4 linked regions of the Kluyveromyces lactis genome follow. Each later gene encodes a partner of the first gene's protein in a complex. Links are inferred from orthologs where the notes say so. Each region holds a gene or a part of one and is shown in the gene's direction. Other genes may lie near its edges.

What was found.
Region 2: the proteins of SRB8 (region 1) and SSN2 are in contact, whole or in part, in a cryo-EM structure (PDB 7KPV), measured with the Saccharomyces cerevisiae proteins. The link is inferred for Kluyveromyces lactis from reciprocal best matches to the Saccharomyces cerevisiae genes SRB8 and SSN2. Residues at the interface, in NP_010004.1 of Saccharomyces cerevisiae: Leu75, Val76, Ser79, Leu82, Ser83, Phe86, Asp87, Ile90, Lys99, Ser102, Ser104, Thr105, Leu108, Leu140, Lys168, Arg169, Ile171, Lys175, Met223, Tyr227, Leu233, Trp236, Lys237, Leu244, Lys245, Gly248, Asn249, Tyr251, Ser252, Leu253; in NP_010731.3 of Saccharomyces cerevisiae: Ala5, His126, Lys128, Leu129, Ser138, Ser140, Val142, Pro143, Tyr145, Val147, Leu163, Ala165, Ser288, Gly289, Asp290, Phe294, His295, Cys296, Leu297, Asp299, Ala300, Leu301, Ala303, Ile304, Asp306, Phe307, Ile308, Leu310, Lys311, Gln312.
Region 3: the proteins of SRB8 (region 1) and SSN8 are in contact, whole or in part, in a cryo-EM structure (PDB 7KPV), measured with the Saccharomyces cerevisiae proteins. The link is inferred for Kluyveromyces lactis from reciprocal best matches to the Saccharomyces cerevisiae genes SRB8 and SSN8. Residues at the interface, in NP_010004.1 of Saccharomyces cerevisiae: Asp14, Leu16, His17, Pro18, Tyr19, Val20, Pro21, Ser22, Val29, Tyr30, Pro31, Asp32, Phe33, Lys34, Pro35, Tyr55, His56, Pro58, Met59, Val60, Asn61, Phe62, Glu63, Ser64, Ile65, Ser66, Ala67, Arg68, Ser70, Val71; in NP_014373.3 of Saccharomyces cerevisiae: Ser2, Gly3, Ser4, Phe5, Trp6, Arg11, Tyr79, Met83, Arg87, Arg92, Gln93, Ser183, Leu184, Lys185, Gln186, Ile187, Val190, Pro195, Phe196, Ser202, Leu205, Gln206, Asn207, Trp209, Ser210, Leu211, Asn213, Asp214, Pro225, Pro226.
Region 4: the proteins of SRB8 (region 1) and SSN3 are in contact, whole or in part, in a cryo-EM structure (PDB 7KPV), measured with the Saccharomyces cerevisiae proteins. The link is inferred for Kluyveromyces lactis from reciprocal best matches to the Saccharomyces cerevisiae genes SRB8 and SSN3. Residues at the interface, in NP_010004.1 of Saccharomyces cerevisiae: Gly4, Ser5, Gly6, Tyr8, Leu9, Leu10, Thr11, Lys34, Pro35, Trp36, Glu37, His38, Glu42, Asp43, Ile45, Leu46, Ala47, Phe49, Val50, Ala51, Lys52, Gly53, Phe54, Tyr55, His56; in NP_015283.1 of Saccharomyces cerevisiae: Asn216, Trp268, Asp272, Ser275, Tyr276, His278, Gln279, Asn280, Trp281, Phe311, His312, Asn313, Met314, Leu315, Thr317, Ala339, Arg340, His341, Thr343, Pro344, Tyr402, Lys405, Tyr406, Pro407, Pro448, Ile449, Asp453, Phe455, Leu458, Val470.

The regions. Positions count from the first base shown.
Region 1 is NC_006042.1:662,016-668,386, reverse strand, and holds the start of SRB8 (Srb8p), read left to right. Parts: upstream 1-2,748; coding exon 2,749-6,371. Other genes in the region: RSM19 (mitochondrial 37S ribosomal protein uS19m), read right to left, coding at 1-257; putative ATP-dependent RNA helicase DBP6, read left to right, coding at 525-2,417.
Region 2 is NC_006038.1:106,936-113,149, reverse strand, and holds the start of SSN2 (Ssn2p), read left to right. Parts: upstream 1-2,766; coding exon 2,767-6,214. Other genes in the region: KLLA0_B01397g (FAD-binding oxidoreductase), read left to right, coding at 1-379; KLLA0_B01375g (putative hydrolase), read right to left, coding at 519-2,441. UniProt on the Saccharomyces cerevisiae protein: Component of the SRB8-11 complex. The SRB8-11 complex is a regulatory module of the Mediator complex which is itself involved in regulation of basal and activated RNA polymerase II-dependent transcription.
Region 3 is NC_006041.1:737,245-742,156, reverse strand, and holds SSN8 (cyclin-dependent protein serine/threonine kinase regulator SSN8), read left to right. Parts: upstream 1-3,431; coding exon 3,432-4,346; downstream 4,347-4,912. Other genes in the region: rRNA-binding ribosome biosynthesis protein UTP25, read right to left, coding at 1-91; ICE2 (Ice2p), read left to right, coding at 484-1,944. UniProt on the Saccharomyces cerevisiae protein: Component of the SRB8-11 complex. The SRB8-11 complex is a regulatory module of the Mediator complex which is itself involved in regulation of basal and activated RNA polymerase II-dependent transcription.
Region 4 is NC_006040.1:1,005,517-1,011,169, reverse strand, and holds SSN3 (cyclin-dependent serine/threonine protein kinase SSN3), read left to right. Parts: upstream 1-2,148; coding exon 2,149-3,930; downstream 3,931-5,653. Other genes in the region: isoleucine--tRNA ligase ISM1, read left to right, coding at 1-911; MRX11 (Mrx11p), read left to right, coding at 1,140-1,742; mRNA-binding ribosome biosynthesis protein NOP4, read right to left, coding at 4,034-5,653. UniProt on the Saccharomyces cerevisiae protein: Component of the SRB8-11 complex. The SRB8-11 complex is a regulatory module of the Mediator complex which is itself involved in regulation of basal and activated RNA polymerase II-dependent transcription.

The DNA.
Region 1 (6,371 bases):
GTATAACTGAATCTCTTTCTTGTTGGTACGAATTCTCCTAGCTTACTTCCTACCATATCTTCTGTCACTTCAAACGCGACATACTCCTTACCATTATGCACTTGGAATTTCAGTCCGACAAATTGAGGTAATATGGTGGCAGATCTGGCATTTGTTCTAATGGGCGTACCTTTGGCCAATGCTTCTTTTATTGGTAATGGGACTATATTTGGACCTTTCCATACAGAACGTGATAGTAATCTCAATGACGGGAACATTTTATGACGTTATGAGTGTTATCGTAGACGCGAGATATTTGTCTAACTGCTGGAACCTTTGGCTGACTGATATCATGGTAGTGACTTAACTCTATTATATCTTGTCGTTATTTCAAGTTTTACAGATTGAAATTTTTTATGAATTCCGTTCTGAAATAAAATAATAGACGAATGGCGATGAGATGTAATATGATGCGATGAGCTTCAGGAATTTAGAAGGTCAGTAACAGCATAGCGACAGCATAACGATAGCATCCAGTCAATAACATGTTTGCTGCAAGGTTTGATCCTACTAAGGTGACTGAAAATGTACTAACAGCTGAAGTCACACAAATAAAAGAACCCACTGTGCCCCAAAAGAGGAAAAGAGATGCGGAAACTGATGATGAAGGCTCTGGTGAGGACGATGCTTCCAGCAGTGAGGATGATGCTTCCAGCAGTGAGGATGATTCCGATACAATTAGTGAGCAAGATGAAAACAAGGTTGCATCTGTTGCGCCTACAGAAACTTCTCAGCAATCAGTTGATGCAAAGCACAGTTCCGTATTAAATAGATTTCAACAGACTCTTTCCCTGCAAGGTGCGTTGAGCGCTTCAGACAAGGTCAGTAGTGACAACGATGTACACGATGAGGACGTATCCATGAAAGATGTTCACAGTCTTACCCCAATTCCTCAACCGGCCAAAGTGACCAATGAAGCCTTGAAGCTTCTAGATCCGTCTACATATAAATCCACTGCGTGGGATGCAGCAACCAAAATTCATTACGATAGTAAAATGGTTAAACAATTCGATAGCTACGAAGGTGAATTAGATGCACGTCTGCTTAAAAATATTACCTCCAATTTCTCATCTGAAACGTTCCCTATTCAGACCATTCTATTCGATAAAGTGCTCCCGCTTCTAAACTCATCTTTTAAAGCAAACAGAAAACTTTTCACAAGACGAGTTGGTGATATATTAGTAAACGCATCAACTGGTTCCGGTAAGACCTTAGCATATTCTGTCCCTTTGGTTCAAATTTTGAGATCTAGAACAGTGAATAAAGTTAGGGCAATAATTTTGGTTCCTACTAAAATTTTAATTCATCAAGTCTACGATTGTCTCTCTAAACTAAGTCAAGGGACCAGTCTCAATGTATCAATGTCGAAACTCGAGAACTCCTTGAAAGAAGAACACAACAAATTTTTGTATAACTCTCCAGACATTCTAATCATCACTCCGGGCAGACTGGTCGATCACTTGCAGATGGAATCATTTGACCTAAAAACTTTGAAGTTCTTAGTCCTTGATGAAGCAGACCGACTATTAAATCAGTCATTCCAAAATTGGAACCAAGTGCTTTTCCACCATTTGACAAACGATAAGCAGGATAAACGTCCAGGAAACGTAATCAAAATGGTCTTTTCTGCTACTTTGACTACGAATGCAGAAAAGTTGTACAATTTGTATCTCCACAACCCCAAGATCTTCCTCACAGATTCTGTTAAATTATATTCAATACCTAAGAAATTGCAAGAACTCAATGTCAATATTCCTACTGCTAAGAGTCTGTTCAAGCCACTACTCTTACTAAGAATAATACACGACATCAAGAGCAGTGCTTCGAGAAACGCTAAAATATTAGTGTTTGTGAAGAGTAACGAAGCTTCGATCAGATTAGAAAGCTTATTACATGCCATGTTAGGATCAGGAATAATTGAAGATGAGTATAATATGTTCCTTTCATCAATTCATTCGAACATCTCGAAGGGTAGTAGCAGAAAACTAATACAGGAATTTGCATCCTCAGAACAAAAGAAATCAGTTTTAATTTCAACGGACATAATGGCTAGAGGTATCGATATAAATGAAATTACTCATGTGATAAACTATGATCTACCGATCTCCTCTCAACAATATGTTCATCGTTGTGGTAGAACTGCAAGGGCTAATACTGAGGGTATAGCAATTAACCTTCTAGTTGGTAAGGGTGAACAGAAATTCTGGTCACAACATATTGACACTGACCTCAGTCGTGACATTGATGGTTATCAACCATCTGCTTACCTTGACGAAGAAAAGTTGTCTGAATTATTCTCTATTGAAGACACTTTGAAGGATACGTACAAGGGTTGTATCAAACAACTCCAAACCAGCAAAGAAGCAGACAGTAAATAGCATATTATCACTAAATAAGTAAAAAGATCATAGTAACTGTACCCCATTCTTGGGGCTCGTCTAAGTGATATTTGAGAAGGCACTAATGATCTTATACTTACTATCTATTTTGCCTCTTCTGATGAGTTGATCATGTGACATGTTATTTATTGTTCGAGCAGTGTTTTTCCTCCACTTTAGAACTTTCTTTACCTTAAATTGATATGTGATTGATCGTTCAGAATCACTGAAACACTATAAACCTTCAAAGTACCTTAGGCAGGTTAAACTGTCTTAACTAGTGCTTGTTAACACATATAAGTAGTCAGAGAATAACCGCTAGATACTTCTGATGTCACCGTCAAAATATTTACTAACTCCTCCGGAGGAATTACATCCGCTCACCGACTCCAACCCACAAATCTATCCTGATTTTGATCCGTGGATTCACACCAAAGAGGAGGATAAGATACTTAAAGAGTTCGTGGCAAAAGGCTACTATACTGCTTCTAGGGTAAACTTTGAAACCATTTCTGCTCGTTCAGCTTTACAAGGATCACTTCCCAAAGTTTCCTCATTGTTAGGAGATGAATTATCCAAGATTATTGAGATACGAGAACAAGAAATTAATAGGATAAGTACACTGGACATAGAAGACAGTACAAGGTTCACTAAATGGTCCGGTCAAGATTTTCATTTGCCTAACAGAGTCACGCTTACAGATCAAAAGAGGAATCTGTGGCTTCAGGAATTAAGCTCATCGAACACATCATTGCGGAAATTAACTAAATCTGTTCCTCATGGATTTAGGAAAAGGCACATTTTGGAACAATGCTACACACAATTCGTTCCAATATATCGTGTCATATGGCTAATCAAAAGTTGCTATGCTATTGAATGGAAAGGAATGATCTCAAAAGCCAAAGGAGAAACCACCCATGAAGAGCTTCTTAGTACTTTGTACAAAGACTGGACCGATAATATGGTCCTTATCCTTGAGAAATTGGTTTTTGAAGTCAGTAAATATTACAATGATCCGGGGCAGTTGAAATATTGGAAGCTACGCATCGCTCATTATTTGAAGATTCTAGGTAACTGTTATGAAATGGAACTATTAAACAGATCTACTTTGCATCAATGGCTGGTAGATTTTTTAAGTAAAATAGAGAGCTTCGAATTCTATCCTATGACATTGCATATCCTTTCTATCTTCTGGAGTGGAATTCTTGGGACAACAGAAGAAGATACAGAAATAGAATCATCGTTTTTGATAATAAAGCTTTCAGAAATTCTATTACGAAAGTACCACATCATATCTGAGTCCAAGTGTATGATTAATGACTCGAAGTATATCATAAATGATGTCCAGAGAAATTCAAAACTCAAAGAGTCTGTTTTATTACGGTTGCGGCAGTTTATTTCCCATATTTTCCATACTCAATCCTTAGAAGCGTTCATCATGCCAAAGCAAAATTGGAACATCTATAAGAATTACTTGTATCAAATATTACTTCAGAATGTCTCTGATGAAGAGACCCCAAAGTTAAAAAAGAAATTGAAATTGATATCATATAGGAATGAATCGTTACGGTTGGGATCCCTTGATGTGGAACCTTCTCGAGAAACCTCTCCTTTCAGCACTGAACTTACCTTAGACAATGTTTTCTCAGGAAATATTTTGAATCTCAAGAATGTGAGCCCAGAATTACTCGGTGTATTAGATAGTGGCCTTTCAGGCTCAGAGTGGAGCTTATTTATTGACCAAAAAATTACGAAAATGGAACAGGTCATTGAAATTATTCTATGGGCAATCAATCCTTCACGTAAGCATCGATATGACAGTTGTCATTTAGTTGCGAAAATATTAGTTTTAAAAATCAATTCTCAAGAATCATTCCAAGAATACAGCATTGAGGATGTTATATGGAGTCTTATTTTCCATTTTTCTAAATTATCAAAGTTAGAATTGCAGAAAATCGTATGGCTTCCGAAGTTGCATCAACTTTTGAATGTCTTTATTGGTTATGGAATAATTAAAGTCCCAACATACATCAGACGTTTGATAAGTTCTGGTGTACTCTATTTGCCAGAATCCGAGAATAAAAATTTCCACTGTAAACTCCTTATCAATTTAAAGATATCACCTATTATGAAGTCGCAATATAACATGGTGTTAAAGAATGTTATGGAGTACGCTCCTCACTTTTATGAGAAGTACAATTTTGACAAGTTAGTGTCGATCTTTGAAAGCCTTAAACCTAAACTTCTTAGTGGTGATTTTGAAAGGCTTGAGGAGTATCCAGGAAGCATACGGATTATGTGCTCCGAATGGTATTTATCTCAAATCTGTTTTAATCAAGGGGAACTTCAGAAGGTCAATAATCATAAGATCATCAAAACATTCCAACTTTTTTGTATCAATCTAGGAGAGTTACATCACTTTTTTGGGTGGGCTGAGTATATTGTTTATCATCAATTAATTGATGACCTTGAAAACTTAGAAGTATTCACTGACATTTTGCTTTATTTGGACAAAGCTTTTCTTTTACTTATCAATGATCATATTTTATTTATGAAGACATTATTACACAGTTATATGAGGGATCTACGGATAAAAGACAAAGCAGCTTTTGAATTGATAAATTTTAAGAGTTTTTGGAAGTTTTTCGTTAAGAATTGTGCAAACATGATTGAAATGGACTCGTCGTTGCAGAATCAAATTGCTGAAGTTTTCGAGTTAGAGAGACACCGGAAAGATCACTTTACTAAAATGCCAAACGAAACGGTGTCGTTATACCTGGAAATAACCGGTAATAAGAATACGAAGTTTGAAGAGCAGAACTTTCCTAGTGTGATCCAGCAAAATATTAAAAAGGTTCTTCATAATCCCGAAGATGAATCCAATTGTAGAAAACTCTTGTTACTATGCAAGGCCTCACACGCCTCAGAGTATAATAAGTTTTTGTCAATTTTTGTGAAAAGAGGAGACTTCACTGTTCATGAATTATTAAAACTTATTTCATTAAAATTACTAAGTTTTGAGGTAATTCAGAAGACATCACATTTTGATTTATTATGTGAATTAGTGTCACAAGTAAGCTTTAATTATGGTCTAAATTTCGAAAATGAAAAGAATGCCTTTGTCAAGAGGAATTTCAAACAAATCACTCTTCAACTTTTCAGTCGACCTACATTCAGGGACACTTTAGTGAGAATGCTAGTGGAATATGGTCCAAATTCAAATTTGAGTGAAAAATCTGCTCAAGTTGTCAGCCACATTTTAAGAGAAGAGAAAAACATGTCTATCATTAGAGATATGTTGATATATGGAATGAATATCGAAAATGAAGCAATAGACAACACCATTGATCTATATCGGTATTTGAACTTCACCAATACTTGGTTGTTCCAGATACTCACCGAATTCAATGTAAAAAACTCTAATGCTGAAGATCTATCGGACTTTTTCTCCAGCATCGTCGGCGCAATTGGTTACAACTCATTATTACCAAAAATATTCAGTAATATCTCAGACAAAAAACAAGTGTCGACCCTTTTGACAGTTATTGAAAGACAATTTTTAGCAAGAGTTTTGGAGACAGAAAAATCTGCGTTAGTCTTCTTGCATATAATGATGGATACAGAAATTGTACTAAGCAGGCATCTGGTAAATATGTCAAGCCTGGGGATGGATTCAGAGGTTTTGGAACTGTTCAAAAATACTATTGCTACATTTGCAAAAATGCCTAACGATACATTAAAGAAATACGACGAAAACTTGAACGAGCTATTAAAGATCGTTATCATTCATGAGAAGTTCATATTGAGACATTGTTTTGAATCAATTGAGCTCCGTGATCACTATATGGTTGACAATTTCTATACTTTGTTCCATAACACCGGTAAAGACTTGAAGTTGAAGCTACTACTTTATGATCTCCTAACTTCTCTAAAGTCTTATATTTTAAACGAAAC
Region 2 (6,214 bases), on another chromosome or scaffold:
AGATTGTGCAGTGCCACTTTCCAATCTTGCAGCTACTCTCGAAGAATTGGATAAAATCACAGCAACTTACCCTCTAACTCATATGACCTTGGGTCATGTTGGTGACGGGAATATCCACTATGATATTTTCTATGAACCGGATCAGTTTGAAATTTGCAAACAGCTGGTAGCTGAAATCAATGCTGTTACTCTTAAAAATGAAGGTACGTGTTCTGGGGAGCATGGTATTGGAACTGGTAAAAGAAAGTTTTTGGAGGATGAATTAGGATCAGATACTGTCGATCTAATGCGGAAAGTAAAGTTAGCTATAGATCCAAAGAGACTGTTGAATCCAGATAAAGTACTCAAGATCGATCCCTTAGATCCTAGTAACGAATGAAACCACCAACCACAAAAAGGAAAAGATACCAGAGGTGTGAAGCCTCGTATCCTCTGAGAACGCGATCTATAGACTACTAATTTATTTTATTTATATACAGTTGAACTTTTAATGATATTATTATTACTATAGTCATCATTCATTCTATCATTGCCTTCGATCCAAAGTGTTCATCGGCAATATGATTGACAACTATCCAACCGAATGAATTAACAAACCTGCGACGAACAATGATGTTATTATGGGAATCAGGCTGTAGCTCAACGATGACCTTTCTCCAGTCCATTGTCTCCTGCCAGTACCTTGCTATTCGTTCTTCTTTCATATGGATCGAGTAATTGGGATATATTATCTTTTTCACAAGCTTCTTATGTTTGTAGTGTTTATCTGGTAATTCTTCCGGGGTATAAACCTTGTCATGAATAATTCTGTCCGTTCTACTGGAGGGATCCACTAGGTACGACATTCCTGGCAGCGGTGCCGATATTGTACTTGCAGCAGCTTGCAATGTATTTGCCTTTTTTGGAGGTTTGAAAGTAGTTGGAGAGTCAGAATTATTGTTCGAATCACTACTGGCAGATTCTACCGAACTGGTAGTTTGAGTCCGCACATACGGTTTATATTTTTCCTTTTTAATGAGTGACTGGGGCAGCAACCATTGGAGAATAGACTTATTGTCCGAAGAGCTCTCTGGAATTTCCCCCAAAGATGACCCTTTCTGTTCTTCAACTCCCTCCTCAGATTGGGCATTGTTTTCGCTCCTCACCTGTTGCACATCACTTAAACCTCTCCAATCAAGATATAGTAAAGCAGCCGTCCTTAGAGGCACTATACCATCAAATGCGACATTAGCATACACGGTTCTACACTTGAATCGTTGGAAAACTTCTAACGCCGGATGTTTAGGTAAAAGCTCTAATATGGGTTTAGATTTGATTCTATCATGTGATCCATCATTATTTACAATACCTTTTGATGGCAGAAAATAGCTGCGCTTCAATGTGAGATCCCTTCCAGTCTGTCCCAAAGCGCCAATGTCCAGCACGATAGATATGTATTTGGGCAAATCTCCAATGACTCCGAGGAATGGGCTCGCCGCCGCCACAAAATTGACGGGTGTCAAGCCTGTGGTCTTGTCAAATATGTCTGGTCGTTCGACAGAGATATAGTGAATGGCCATAGCTTGCACGGGTCCTCCCAAAGAGTGACCTACAAATGAGATTCTTGTTAAGGTGAATTGCTGTTGAAGTTTATCGATGGTATCGATTATATATTCTGCCAACTTGAATCCTAGATGCCGTATACCTTTATGAGACTTCCCGACGTTTCCAGGATACCCTCTTATTACAAGATTGCCATTATTATCATCTGGCAAAAAGTTCGACGCTCGTTCAATGGTGTCTTTTAAGCAAAGCATATCTCCGCCAATAGAAGAGAAGATGCCATGTGTAATAATTACGAGATGAACTGGCTTATCTGGAAATGGCGGAGGTAAATTCCACAACTGTTCAGTGTCAAGTTTGGAAATTTTCAACCCATCAGTCTGCTGAACTTCTATATTCTTGTCTTTCTGGGAATGTTTAGCAGTTTTGTATGTTGTAGCTAGCGTGAAGACGAATGGAAGCCTTACAATGGTAACGACAGTGAACTGGGCAATAAGGTCAATCTTCCAAGCATAACAAGAAGTACCGTCAACTCGAGCATTAGAATTGAGATAAAGTTTCGCTTTGAAATTCTCATCAGGCTTGAGGTCACTCATGAACTCAATTCCATCTCCTATGAATTGCTTTCTCTCGTCATAATTGTTCGGCGTTATTTCAACATAAATTGAGTATGGTCCAGTTATCCATAACGGCCTCAAAAGCGCGCTCTCCTGGTTTTTGAATTCGAGATAGAGAGTATCGTCAGTACACTCAATTCCGTCAGATAGTAGCTTATTTTTATCTACAATTATCTTATAGCGATTGACATCCCCGATACCAAGTGACCCTGTTTCCCTTAAAAGCAGAATACCACTATCTGATGACTCAGTGTCGTTCTCTTCAGTCAGTTTTATTGCCATCTTGGCATACGCCAACCACTGTTAGCAGAAGTACAGGTTATACTGCGTTTCCAATTGAGAGTGCGCCGCTAATCACGGGGGGTGCGTTTAGCTTTATGCTTTGGTACCTGTCATTCATTGTTTTGTATTGGCAATCTTTTTTGTTTTTGTTTTATAATGATCAAGCGATTCATTATTATAAGTAGTGATAACTCGAGATAAAATCGTATAATTTTAAAAGAAGGTAACTAGACAGCATCTCTTAACAAGTACGGATTTTTGAAGTACCGTTGCATCCTAATCAGTCTGACTATCCAGCTTACTTTTCATCAGAGCAACGGAAACCATGAAAAAGGAGGTTGGGGACGCATGTCGATTGGAGGACATCGTTACCAATTTATACAGGTTAGAAACTGTCAAACAAATAAACTATCACCAATATGTACCTAGCAAGGCAGATAATCAATGGTCAATTCAAGCAGAGTTGTTCCTAAGGAGGAAAAACCCCAAAGTACTTGCAGCTCTTTTTTCCAGGGAGTTATGGTGTTTTAGTATTAACGATGATCCATTACCAGAGTTAAACCTTGAGCTGAATAACGAATCGGAGTCACCCCAGCCAGAGCGGAAGGGTCACTTCACCCCAGAATTCTCAAAACCTCACTTGCCTACCCCATATGCCATCTTTATGAAGGCTCTCAGGCGTATGATATATGTCAATTTGACCCTATCCTCCAATGAAACCATCGTGCCCTTTGGAAACTCATGCATATTTCAGGAATCATATACCTTTTCGACCAAAATCTTACACTTTGATCCACATCTATTTGAAAATGGAGATTTGACTGTTGCAATTTGTTCCAAGGATTTGGGTTTATCGAAGTTGAATGCAGAGAGCCTCAAACATGAAGTGGCTGTGTATTTGGCTCCATCTGGGATCAGAGTGTATTTACCATCCACAGATTTAAAGAAATGTTATGTATCACCACCCAAAAACGCTCAAATGTTTCTCAAGACACTATTTGTCTCCCATGGAATAAATTTAATCGATGTCGACGGTTTGAAATGGGTAAAGCTTATTCCAAATGCTAACCATTTGAATGGCTTCACTCCAACAATATCACATTATCTTGACGAACCAAAAGGAAATAATTTCGTTATCTGGCCGGCATGTCTCTGTTTTGTACAAACAGCATCTGACGTTCAAACTCCTCAATATACTGCATTTTCAAGATCCCCGCAGCTTGAGTTAGATGATTGTTTCGATATGATAGATGGATTTATACAGTTAAAACTCACTTCGGCCTACAGAACGCCTGGAACATCTGCAGGGATGGGAACTGTAACCGGACATAACCCATTAAGTACGGGAGGAATATTTACTGATCAGTTTCAAGGGTTTAATAAGCATTCGGCCAATAACAGCAATAACGTATCTTCAACGGGAGAGAATGGTAAGTTTTCTCCGGAATACTCTAATGATCCAAACGTAACACCTCTGCGAGATAATAAAACTAGTAGACAGAATTTCCCCACAGAGAGTTACAGCAGTAATGGTTTCATTACAACTCCAATAATAAATGAGAATATCACTCCAACCGTTGATGATATTATAACAGAAACTCCTTCCGTAAAACCTCAGAACGATCTTTGGAATGAGAAAAAGGATGTAATAAATAGTACATCCAATATCAACTCAAAGGACGCATCAGTAGGTAGTTCTGAGCGTAAAGTAGAACTGGAAACCGCTTTTGAATCTCCCGCTCAGAATATTTCGATAGAGGAACACGAGCATGTAGAATTCGACAAAGATCTTTTTGGTGAAGATAGCGACGAAGATGTCAGTACGCGAAATAAGAACGAAGAACTGGTATCTGTAAAAGAGATTACTGACGAAATGTTTGATCTAGCCGAAGATGACGATGAGGCTGACGGATCAACTAGTAACTCGTTAAAGTTTGATCGTCCCGACACCATCGAGTCTATTGATACTGACGAAAAGAAGACAAGAACAAAGCGTACCTATTTGGACATACCAGTGGATGTCATTACTATAGAAAAGACACCTACATTATACGAAGATCCAGGAGCACCTTTGCCTATTGAAACCCCAAAAGACAGAAAGAAAAGTATATTCGCACCACTCAATTTCAACCCCATCTTTGAAAGTAATGTGGATAACAAGTACAAGAATGGAGGTAAGTTTTCTGTTAACTCGAACACCAATGACGAACCAATACAATTTGGGATAAGTACAAGTAATATATCAAGCTCAGAAGATGATGATAGCGATTTTTCTCCTGCTGATTTCAACAATAATGGACCATCTGCAGGAAAGGGCTTATCATATGATCCAAGAGACAATGATATACCAATGATCGAGTCATCAACATACGAACCTATTGCAAAGGACTCTCTTCCCGAATTGATAAACCCACCATCTTCTTCCAAAGATGATTCTGTGGCATCTTATAATACGATCGGAACTCTAATGGAAAAACCTGTTAAGTCCAACTTAGACGCAATATGGAAGCCCGCCTTAAGTAAATCAGAAAGAGCTGATCTACCAAACCAGACAATTAATGGGGTCATAAACGACTGCAATAACAGCTCAAACTCAAATCCCACAACTTACTTTGAGAATACGCCTTCTCTCGGACCGGATACTCTATATGATAATTCAAAACCAAGAAGTTCATCAGCTAACTTTCTTTCCACGGTTGAAATCGACCCCAAAAGCGAACAAACTATTCAAACCGCAGAGCAAGAACAATCTGAATCATCTAGAATTCTCCCCTACCTTTTGAGACACATGCCTTTGTTCTCGTTGCCTGACGTGTTCCTTTGTCAGAATCCATCTTTGCCGCCCGGAAAAGACTTCGAGGATATTCTAGAGATTTTGACAGATCAGATAGTCTTCAATAATGATATGTTTTCTGATGATAGGGCAACAGAATCTCAGTTTAAAGGGATCAAGGATTGCTCCGTTGGCACCATCAGCGATACCATGAACCAGCTTTTTGGGAATTTTTCAAAGCTTCACGGAAACGAAATAATAGAGGAAGTCTTCTATTTGCCTGAACCATCAGTGTTTGTGAAGAAATCTGAAGATACAATTAAAATAAAAAGCTCATCGTGTTATTTCACGGAATATTTAAATCTGAAACCCAACCGTGGGGTAAAAAATTTCAGGGCCCTAGTGCTAACCACTGAGGCAAAAAATGATTGCATGTCTTTCGTATCACAAATGTCTCAGACATATTCGAATCATGAGTTAGGGTTCTGTGAACTGACTAAGTTGACTAATGACGATAATAAAGGGTTAATATACTTAAAAAATTTTAACCAAGACACCTTACTACTTCTTTCCGCACAGATTGTATCTTTCTGTTCAACAGCACTCTCAAATATTAAGAACATTCCTTTACTCATCTTTCTCCCCATCAACAAACTTTCATTAACAGAATGTATATCAATGATCCTCAAGTTTCATGTAATCAGGAAGGAGTTCAAATCTAAGTTACCAAAGGCAGATATTTTGTTGAGGCTCGTGAATATAGATTTCCTCAAAAATCCACTTACACCTATCACTGCGTACACTTCATTGTGTATGGCAATCTATAATAGTCTACCACCAAAAAGTACTAAGGTAACGTCCCTAACAAATGATTTACCCAAACAAATTGAGTTCCGGACACTGAAGAATGCCTCCTTATCTATCCATTACGATAACTACATCCATTTGGCATACTTGAGAAGTATTGATCGTGAGTGGCTGTGTGCTGCCTGGTCAGACA
Region 3 (4,912 bases), on another chromosome or scaffold:
CGTCATCATATCTTACTCTTTTCTGACCAGCTCTAGTGATCTCTCTCAACTGTTTTCTACCAGATTTTGGACCAGCTCTGATTTTACTCATGTTTGAGGATTCCTTTACCAAATAAATGACACTTTTCTACTACTCCAGCAATAACCAAATACAATTAATATGATGTCAATTTAATATACTGCTCATCTCATGTCATCTCATCGCATCTTATAATCTTAGATGCTCAATTTTTCATCCGTGTTTAATGATCTCATCAGGTCCAGGTACTTGAAAAGAAGTGTCGACCCCTTCCTACCGTAAAGTCATGTCACAGCAGACCTGAAACACCTCAAAGATTACGTCTACCTTGAGAAGCGATTAAACAAGTTCAAAGTAGTGTGCTCGTCATACTGTTTACCTTTTTGGTACGTTCCATTCCTTTTACTACTGCGCCTGTAAACTGACTGTTTTCATAAACTTATATAATACAAACAAAAAAAATAATGTTACATAGAATTACGATGGAAATCTTCAAGCAAACCAGAAGACGAAGGAGTCAAGAAAGAAGGCTTGAGCCATCAACAATAGCCCGTCACTGTGCAAAATTCAACGTTTCCAAGATGCCACTAATAAAGAAGAGTGTGCTTCAAACTCTGCGGATATTTCTCACGACAATGTATCTATTTCTCGTGCTGATTACCATTCCGATAAGTTTCCAAGTTGGTGGGCTGAACTGTGGATTGTCATTTACTGTAACGTTATTTGCTCTGTATTTTGTTTCAACGACTTTCAAGCTAGTATTACTGGACCGCGGATCAGCGTTGTCAACCCTGATTTATTATTTGCAGCATCTTCTCATTCCTTCAATTTTATTCATGTTTTTGTCATACTTTGAAAACATCGACTCTGATACTGTCGATTCCGAGTACTTCAAAGTATTTTGGAATGTGATGGTGAAGCCATGGCAGCTATCATTGATACATTCGACTCCAGTGTTCACTCTACTGGAGGGTGTTTTCACCATTCTCGCCATTCAAGCCATAGGGGAGACAGAGAGATGGCTCAAGATGTCTAGAAGAAGTAATCAATGGGTTATTCTGAGTTTGTTGATCAGTGGGGGAATTATTACGCTATCACTATTTTACTTTTACAGAATATATGTCACTCCAATGTGGGAACTCTCCACACCAAGTGCTTCACTACTTGGGTTCACATTCTCAATTGTTTGTGGTATCGGATTATATGGTATAAACGGATCAGGGTCAGTGATGGAAAGCTCGTTGTTTTTTGCTTATATGGTTCGCAATGTTTACGAAATAAGTCCTAAGATGGCGATGAATGCCATGGACGAAATATTCGATATCGTTAAGGAAACATGGAAAATCCATCAGGCTAATTTGCCCAAGAAGGATAATCTTTTGGAACTCATGACTAAAAATTATCGCGCCATCTGGAGTCAGATAGTAGAACACACGCCTCGGAACCATAAATATATTAAAATGATGGACCAATGTAAATGGATTCTAAATCCTTTGTGGAACTCAGTGAAGAATTTCACTAAAAGCGTACCGATAAGTATCCAAGAAATATTCGTTGTGACATTCAAGATGGCCAAAGAAAGTCTAATACCAGCAGTTGTAATAAATTTAGTGTTCAGACTACTGATATTTTACAGTGCAACACGTATTATACCGACATTGCAGAGAAATACAAAAGAACGTAGAAGTTTCAGAAGAATAATGAATTTTGTGTACTGGTATTCACCATGCATCATTATTGCAATGTACACGCATTTGATTCTACGGTATAGCGGTCAATTGAAAAATGATCTCTGTATATGGGGATGTTTCCCATACGAAACAGAGCCAAAGATCGTGGTTGATTCATGGTCCTTTTGGAATTGGTGCAACATTTATTCAACCATGTTGATTTATGCATTAGAACTTATGGGTAGTAACAAGTAGAAAACCATCTGATGATCAGTTCACGATCAGAAATAAAAAGCCTCTTTTACTCCAGGGCAGAAATAGAAGATAGCTATGTAACATTAGAGGTGAGCAGCTTGAGACAAAGTTAGATATGGATAGGAAGATCACTTTTTGTGCCACGTTATGTAGTTCAGCTGATAGATAGAAATGGTAGGTAGTAGTTCCGTAAATGGAAAGCAAAGAAATACAAGAGATACTTACTCGATGGGAAAACCACACTAACAAGTAGATGATTCTAGTACTACACATGTTTACAACTCATAGCAAATGGTTAGCCGGACTCATACTAGATGGTGCGGTGCTAACAGCGTTCAAGAAAAAATCAAAACAGAGAAGATACATACAGTACTACTCTAGACCGCAGTCAATAACTCTTCTTTATCATCAAGGAAATTTGATCAGTACGTTTGTAAAAAGCAAGTCTCGTCCATGCTATATAAGCTCAGAGCTTGACTCTATGTTGCATTGTTATTTCATCACGTTAAAAATCCTAAAATGAAGAGGGAAAGATGACGGCTGGATCTTTTGAAATTCTTCCTTGTAGCACTTGATATGAGAGGATACTCAACTGAGTATAATCCAAGGCAATAAATGATACAATAATAAATAATCAGGGCAGCTTGGCATATTTGACTATGCGTAAGTATCGAAAAGTTCAAAATAAATTTGAAACGAATCCACTTCAAGCTGTTTGATGATTGAAAAAAGGATGGAGAGTTTCGTGAGCCGAGAAAGTAAGCTCCATTGGGTTACCCAAGCTACCTCCTCCCTAATCACCCCTGTAAACAGAAGTAACAAAAAAAGAGATAAAAACGCTCGGGCAATCGTCATAACTTTCGTTTAAAGTAAAGAAATACTTCAGTACCCAAGACACAGAGGCTTCTAAAACAGCCTCTGGATAGAAACCGTGACAGAAAACCAACACGATTAATGAGTTGATTTAAACATTTGAAAAGTTTTTAAATCTCATTACGTTTCCGCTTACGGACTGGTCGGAGACTTTCTACCCAAAGCTATAGAAATGATATCATTTCAATTGAACAGATAAAATCCGTTCCTTATGTAAGCTTCGATCAGTGACGATTCTTCGACTACAAAACCCTCGACTTACGAAACAAACAACAACAAAAGACAACACTAGAAAACATTTAATTAAAAGTAAGTGTTTGAAGTGCTGATGTTTGGTTCATATAGTTGAATGTTTAACTTTTTTCCAAAAAATTTTCAAAAAGGTTACCCGACTTCTTAACGACCTGAAATTTAGGGCTGCAACGGTCAGCTTATCATAATGTACTTGATGATGAATTGAAGAATAGCGAACGGTAAGGTAGTAAGAACCGAATCGGGTTAGGTACTTTGAACAAAGGATTCCGACAACAAAAGGCAGTACAAATTTCACTGGAGGATAAAAAATACCTTTCCCCCCCTTATTCATTGAACAGCTAGAAGATTATCTTTCCAAAATGAGCGCCTCATACTGGGATTCGAGTCAGAGGCACAAGTGGAAGTATACTAGGGAATCCTTGGCTAAGGAGAAGCAGAAACTCTGGCTGTTGGAATGCCAATTATTCCCACAAGGTTTGAATGTTACGATTCACGATTCGAAGGCGAACAAGCAGGTGACGACAAACATTCCGGTTACACAGCGAGATCTGCATTATGATCGAGACTACAATTTGAGGATATACTGCTATTTCCTTATAATGAAGTTGGGCAGGAGGCTCAATATACGGCAGTGTGCACTTGTTACAGCACATGTTTATTTGAGCCGATTTTTGCTTCGAGCTAGTGTCAGGGAAGTGAACCTGTATCTTTTAATCACCACCTGCATCTATTTGGCTTGCAAAGTGGAAGAATGTCCGCAGCATATAAGAACGCTAGTCAACGAGGCGAGGTCTCTATGGCCAGAGTTTATTCCACCGGATGTGACAAAAGTGACCGAGTTTGAGTTTTATTTAATCGAGGAATTGCAATCATATTTGATTGTACACCATCCGTACCGGTCTCTAGAACAGATCGAGAAGGCATTATCATCCGAAAAGTACAACTATAAACTCTCAGACGATGAGCTTCAGAAAATATGGTCGTTGATTAACGATAGTTATACGACCGATGTCCATTTACTCTATTCACCGCACGTGATCGCCATAAGTTGTCTATTTGCAGTGTCTTGCATCATTCACAAGCCAGAGGACAGTACAAAGCGTGCTAACATCAACATGTTCATCGCTGAAACTCAAGTTAATTTGGAACAAGTGATGTTTATCCTTCAAGAACTCATATCACTATACGACCATTGGGACAAATACAATGAACTGCGGATCAGAGCGCTCCTACACGAGTTATACCTCCGTCAACAAACACCAGCAATTCAGTGATTCTGAAGCCGAAAAGATTTCGTTCAGTTCACACCTGTACATACATAACAAATTACGTAGCATTCAAGATCAACCACGCATCAAGGATATATCGCATAAGAACGAAATGAAATTATATTGGACAACTCACGGAAGAATCACAGAAATGCAGACACTGAGAAATATACACATTGTACGCACAAAAAAAATTTAGTTCGCAATCACAGTCAACTAGAGGACAAGTAGAAGCCTCACTCCAAGAGCTGCATTTGCAACTTCTATTTCTCTTTAACACCAAAAATATCTTTGGCGAAGCGATATCTGCCAAATAATCTAGAGCTATTCATGCGCAGAAAAGAAAAAAAAAAGTGAACGAACGGCAATATGATTTCGAGAGTTAAACATGAAACTCGAAATCAAATCTTAACTAACAATGTTAACGTGTATTTATAAAGAGTAGAAGTAGGAAAAGTGGAAGCACAAGTTCAAAAGAAAGCGAGTCCAAAAGTTTAGTGAAGCAGAAGCAGAGTGTCTGTCATTTCATTATTCTGTGAGGTTCCCGCATTGTATATTAGTTAGGATACCAT
Region 4 (5,653 bases), on another chromosome or scaffold:
TAGTAGCACAGTCAAACTTTACTTCTGATGTTGTTGCTGGCCCAACTGTAATGAAACATGTTGCAGATGCTTTAAAGAAGTTTAGACTAACGTTTAAATTCATCTTAGGTAATTTACAAGAGACTCAAAGTCACGGATTAATACCTTTTTCAGAGCTGCGCAGAGTGGACCAGTATACATTACTAAATCTGAAGGCATTGAGCCAGGAAACCAAAAAACTCTATCAACAGTACAATTTCTCAAATGTCTTAACTCAGGTTCAATACCACATGAACAATGATCTTTCCGCACTTTATTTCAGTGTCACAAAAGACTCCTTATATTCAGACTCCTTGAATAACAAGAAACGATTGTCAATTCAAACGACATTGTTCCATATTCTTGACACTTACCGTAGCATAATGTCACCAATCATCCCAATAATGGTTCAAGAAGTTTGGAATTATACCCCTAAGGAATGGATTAATGAAAATTCCTCTGAAGGAGTGGCGGAAATCGAAACTCCATTCACTAGGCAATGGGACTCATTGCAAGACGTCCCATCTTCTAATGATGAACGACTGGAAAGCTTTGCATCGAATGAGTTGAAAATTCTGAATATCTTCACTGAGAAATTTAATAGGATGGAAGATATTACAAAAACATTGCAGGTGAAAGCAACCATATACTGTTCAGATCCTTCATTGTTACCATTTACAGCGGAAGAAATGGAGGATTTATTACAAGTTGGTAAACTAAATATTGAGCACGGTAATAGATCCGACCTAGAATCGATCTCACTACCATCAGTTGACATCCAGTTACTGCTAGAAGAAAGTACGTCTGATAAATGTCCTAGATGCTGGAAGCATAACTCCCCAAGTGAGGACACTCTGTGCAATCGTTGCGAGGAAGTTATTAATGCATTATGATCACATGACCTTCACATAAATCACTTGTAAATAGTATTCTTTTTAACAACAGGCATGAACATAGACATGCGAAGGTTTATCAATACGATAAAGATATCACACCATAAATTAATTCAACGACTGTTAGACATCATAGTGGCGTAATCACTGCTATATAATATTTTGTTTGATCTCCGAAGGGCTCGCTGTACTTGTTGTAGACATACACATACTCCAACACACAGAAATATGAAATTACTGCAATCATTGCCAGGGCTTGGCACTAGCTGTTCCAAAATGGTAATCGGTAATAGGTACTCGATAATCCAAAAGAGAGGCCCGGCGAAATTATTTATCAATGGGATACGGTATAACTCGAGCAAGGTCGAACCATCGAAAATTGATGATAGGCTGCATCGGCTGATCAAAAAGTCCAAATTCCTGACAAGATTGAACGGTAATCCTCGTTACAAACATTATTTCGATAAACTTTCTGAAGCCGGCGCCGTTTCTACAATGACATCATTCTTAATCCTTCACGAAATTACTGCTATCGTTCCTTTGTTTGCTCTATGGGGACTGCTTTATAACTTAGATCTGTCTGACCAATATGAGATGCCAGTATATTTCAAGGATTTGTTGAACAAATGTGGTGAAAGTATAGGTAAATTAATTGGAGATTACGATAATGGCTGGGATAGAGATAGATTAGTTGTATCTGGGGCTCTTGCATACGCCATTGTTAAAGTATTGTATCCTGCTCGGATACTTTTCAGTTTATGGGCAGCTCCATATGTTGGAACTTTCGTAATAATGCCTTTTACCAAACTTAGGGCATTAATTCGTCGTTGAGCTAAAACCTGATCTTCCATTGGCACTGATGTAAATAGACTAATTTATATATAGACTCGCATTCATCTTATTATTATAAAACTTCATGGATCATATTTATGAAGACAACTACGATTAGTTTACAGTTAGTGTCTCAAATCCTTGATAATAGTAATAAATTCAGCTACGACTAACTATTTATTCATGATACAACGACATATCAGGCCAGAGTTGGCTACTTTATTATCTAATGACTCTTTCTTCACAGAACAACGAATGGTTCTTATATTGACGTTTTTATAAGAATTTAAAGCGAAGTGATCCATTAGAAAAATGATTAAACGTTGAACGCTTTGAGAATATAAAGACAAGCTCTCGGCGGATACAGCATTCTATCACTTTTTATAGACTGCGATTTACTGCTGTAATGTACGGCAACCAACAAAACAACTCCAATCCATATCAAATGTCGTATTATCGAATGAATAACGGCCAAGGCCAGGGTACTAATCGCTGGCCTCAACAACTGTCACATCAGGAAATGTTAGCGGGCCATTCTCAACAGATCCTTAATAACAATAAACCAGCTGGAAACCAATCGAAGCCTCCGATTGTGATGGCTAGTAATAATGTTTTCTCTATTGGTCCATACCGTCAACGAAAGGATAGTTCAAGAATCTCGGTGTTACAAAAGTACGAGATTATCGGGTATATTGCAGCTGGTACGTATGGTAAAGTTTACAAAGCTAAAGCGAGGGATTATCAGAATGGTATGAATAGAGACAACGTAATAATACTAGATTCTCCGGATTCTGTGAGTGCTGATTCAAATTTGGATATAAATTCAATCAACAGATCCACTAGACAACAGGAGGCTAACGACAACCTTACAACCATGGACTTTAGGAAGCCTTCCCACAAGCGATTCACACCTCCAAATAATAGCAACTCAACACAGATACGGTCTAATAGTGGATCAGAAACAAATGTAAGGATAAATTCGTCGAGTATAACAAACAACTCCAGAAAGCCTTCTCAAATTCAGTTCTATGCTATTAAGAAGTTCAAAACGGAAAGAGAAGGTGTCGAGCATTACACAGGTATCTCACAAAGTGCATGCAGAGAGATGTCACTTTGTAGAGAATTGGATAATAACCATTTAACGAAATTAGTTGAAATATTCCTAGAGAAGAAGAGCATCTACATGGTCTCAGAGTTTGCTGAACATGATCTTTTACAAATTATCCATTTTCATTCGCATCCTGAAAAGAGACTAATACCGCCAAGGATGCTCAAATCAATAATGTGGCAAATTCTTGATGGTGTTTCTTATTTGCATCAGAACTGGATTCTTCATAGAGACTTAAAGCCCGCTAACATTATGGTTACCGTTGATGGCTGCGTCAAGATCGGTGATCTTGGTCTAGCGAGAAAATTCAATAACATGGTACAGACTTTATACACTGGTGATAAGGTTATTGTAACAATTTGGTATCGTGCCCCAGAACTTATACTTGGAGCTCGACATTATACTCCTGCAATAGATCTTTGGGCTGTTGGTTGTATTTTTGCAGAACTCATCGGTTTAAGGCCAATCTTTAAAGGTGAAGAGGCCAAGATGGAGTCCAAGAAGAGTGTTCTGTTTCAAGCTAATCAGTTTCAAAAAATATTGGAAGTCATGGGTTCGCCAGATCATAAAATATGGCCGAATATCGACAGTTATCCAGAATATCTTCAGTTGGCAAAAATGCCAAAATATCGTGACAATTTAACAGCATGGTATCAGACCGCTGGCGGTAAGGACAAGACTGCTTTAGACATTCTTTACCGTCTATTGCAGTATGATCCTATCAAGAGAATCGATGCAATCGACGCTTTAGACCATGTCTATTTCACCAACGGCGACCCTCCTGTCTGTGAAAATGTGTTCGAGGGTCTCAACTACAAATACCCACCAAGGCGCATTCACACAAACGATAACGACATTACGAATGTCGGCAATGATAATAATCAAGCTAATCACTCTCAAAAACAACCAATGCATGGTAACAATAATAATAAGAATGGGAACATGAACGGATTAGGTGTAAACAAACGTATCTTGGCAGCAGCAGCGGCAGCTGCCGCTGCAGCTGCTGTGTCTGGTAATGGAAACAACCCCACAAGCAATACTGCAACCGGAGGATCAGCACGGAAAAAGAGAAAATGATTCTATAATTGAAATGCATGTTATTTAATATACAGATTTTATATCCTAGAAACTTCATTGCTTCGGAATGCTTTGAATTTTTGCCTTTGACTATTGTTTACATTCAAGAACGGCCCTTGTTCTTTCTTCTACGTTTAGATCCAATAATCTGTTTAATATTATTACTTAGACCAGATTTTGTTTCCTCTTCTACTGGTTGAGCCACTTTTTCTTCTTCTTTATTCTCTTCATCATCTCTTTTTCTCTTGAAAGATATCAATCTAGATTCTTTGACCTTTTCTCTTCTTCTCTTCACAACGTTAGCGTTTTCGATAGCAAATTCGACCACCAGTCTTCTTTTTTTGAAACTGTCTGCATCAAGCTGTTTCTTTTCATCATCCGTAAGTCCTTCTAAGATTTCGTCCCTACTGACTTCATGAGCATTTAACCATCTTAGACACATTAGCGCAGCTTTATGATCCCTGAATTCAACAAAACCATACCCTCTACTTCTACCACCGCTAGATCCTTTAATTTCCATGATAATTTTAGATTGTCTAACAATACCTTGTTTCTTGTCCTTCTTCTTTTGAGCTTCGATTTCTTCTTCAGACATGAACTTGTACTTTTCCTTAGTAGATCTGACGATTTCTTCTTTATTCAATGCGTGTCTCTTGTTTTCGTTAACTTCTTTGGCGAACTCTACTACAGCTTTACGAGCTAGCGCCTTTAGACCCTTCTCAGTCATTGCTCTTGGAATATTTCTGATAGCCAATCTAGTCATCGAAAGATGTAACGTTGGATTCTTCTTCAATTGTTCGACTCTTAACTTGTAAGATTTTTCTCTGACTTCCATATCAGCAGGAGTTAACAACTGTGAAAGCTTTGAACCTGCAACAATTCTACCTTCATTTAACAAATATAGATTACGTCTGTCCTTTTCACCTGGTGCCTTACCAAGAACTTCTTTTCTCTTCTCGGCATTTCTCTCAAACATTCTTCCAGCAGATTCTCTATCAAGAGTTGGAGAAATTGCAAGAACACGACCCTCATAAACATACTCTGGGGAAACATCATCACTTATTAGAAGGGATGTACTTCCTGTAGCAGGAGCATTATTTAGACAGTCGTTGTAAGCATCTTCGCTTCTGAATGCAACGAAAGCAGTACCCTTCGCCAAACCAGTTTCTTTATCAATCACTGGCAAAGCGTATTTTACTGGGCCGAACACGCCGAAATGACGTTCTAAGGATTCTTGAGTGGCATCGTATGGAACATTACGCACAAAAATAGAGAAATCTTCCTTTCTGTTCTTCTTTACGGTATCCTGTTCTGGTGTTTCCTCCTCTTCGCTGATTTCTTCATCAGAATCCAAGACGATGTCACTTTTTTCTTCTTTTTCTTTGTCGTCCTGATTGTCAGCGTCCTCTTCACCCGAATCAGAACCATCATCCTCATCATCATCATCATCTTCTTCTTCTTCTTCCTCATCTTCATCAGACGCTTCCAGTTCCTTATGTTCGTTCTTATAGTCCTCCCATCTGTTCTTTTGAATTGCAAAATCAACAGCCACTTTCCTGCCATCGATCTTCAAATCCTTAGTGCCTTCTATAGCAGCCTTACAGTTAGAGATCCTGTTCATTGTAACAAAAGCAAACCCACATAATCTACCGTCTCTCTTCCTTGGGATCGTAGCTTCAACAACGGTACCGTACAATCCGAAGATTTTCTTCAGTTTCGTCGG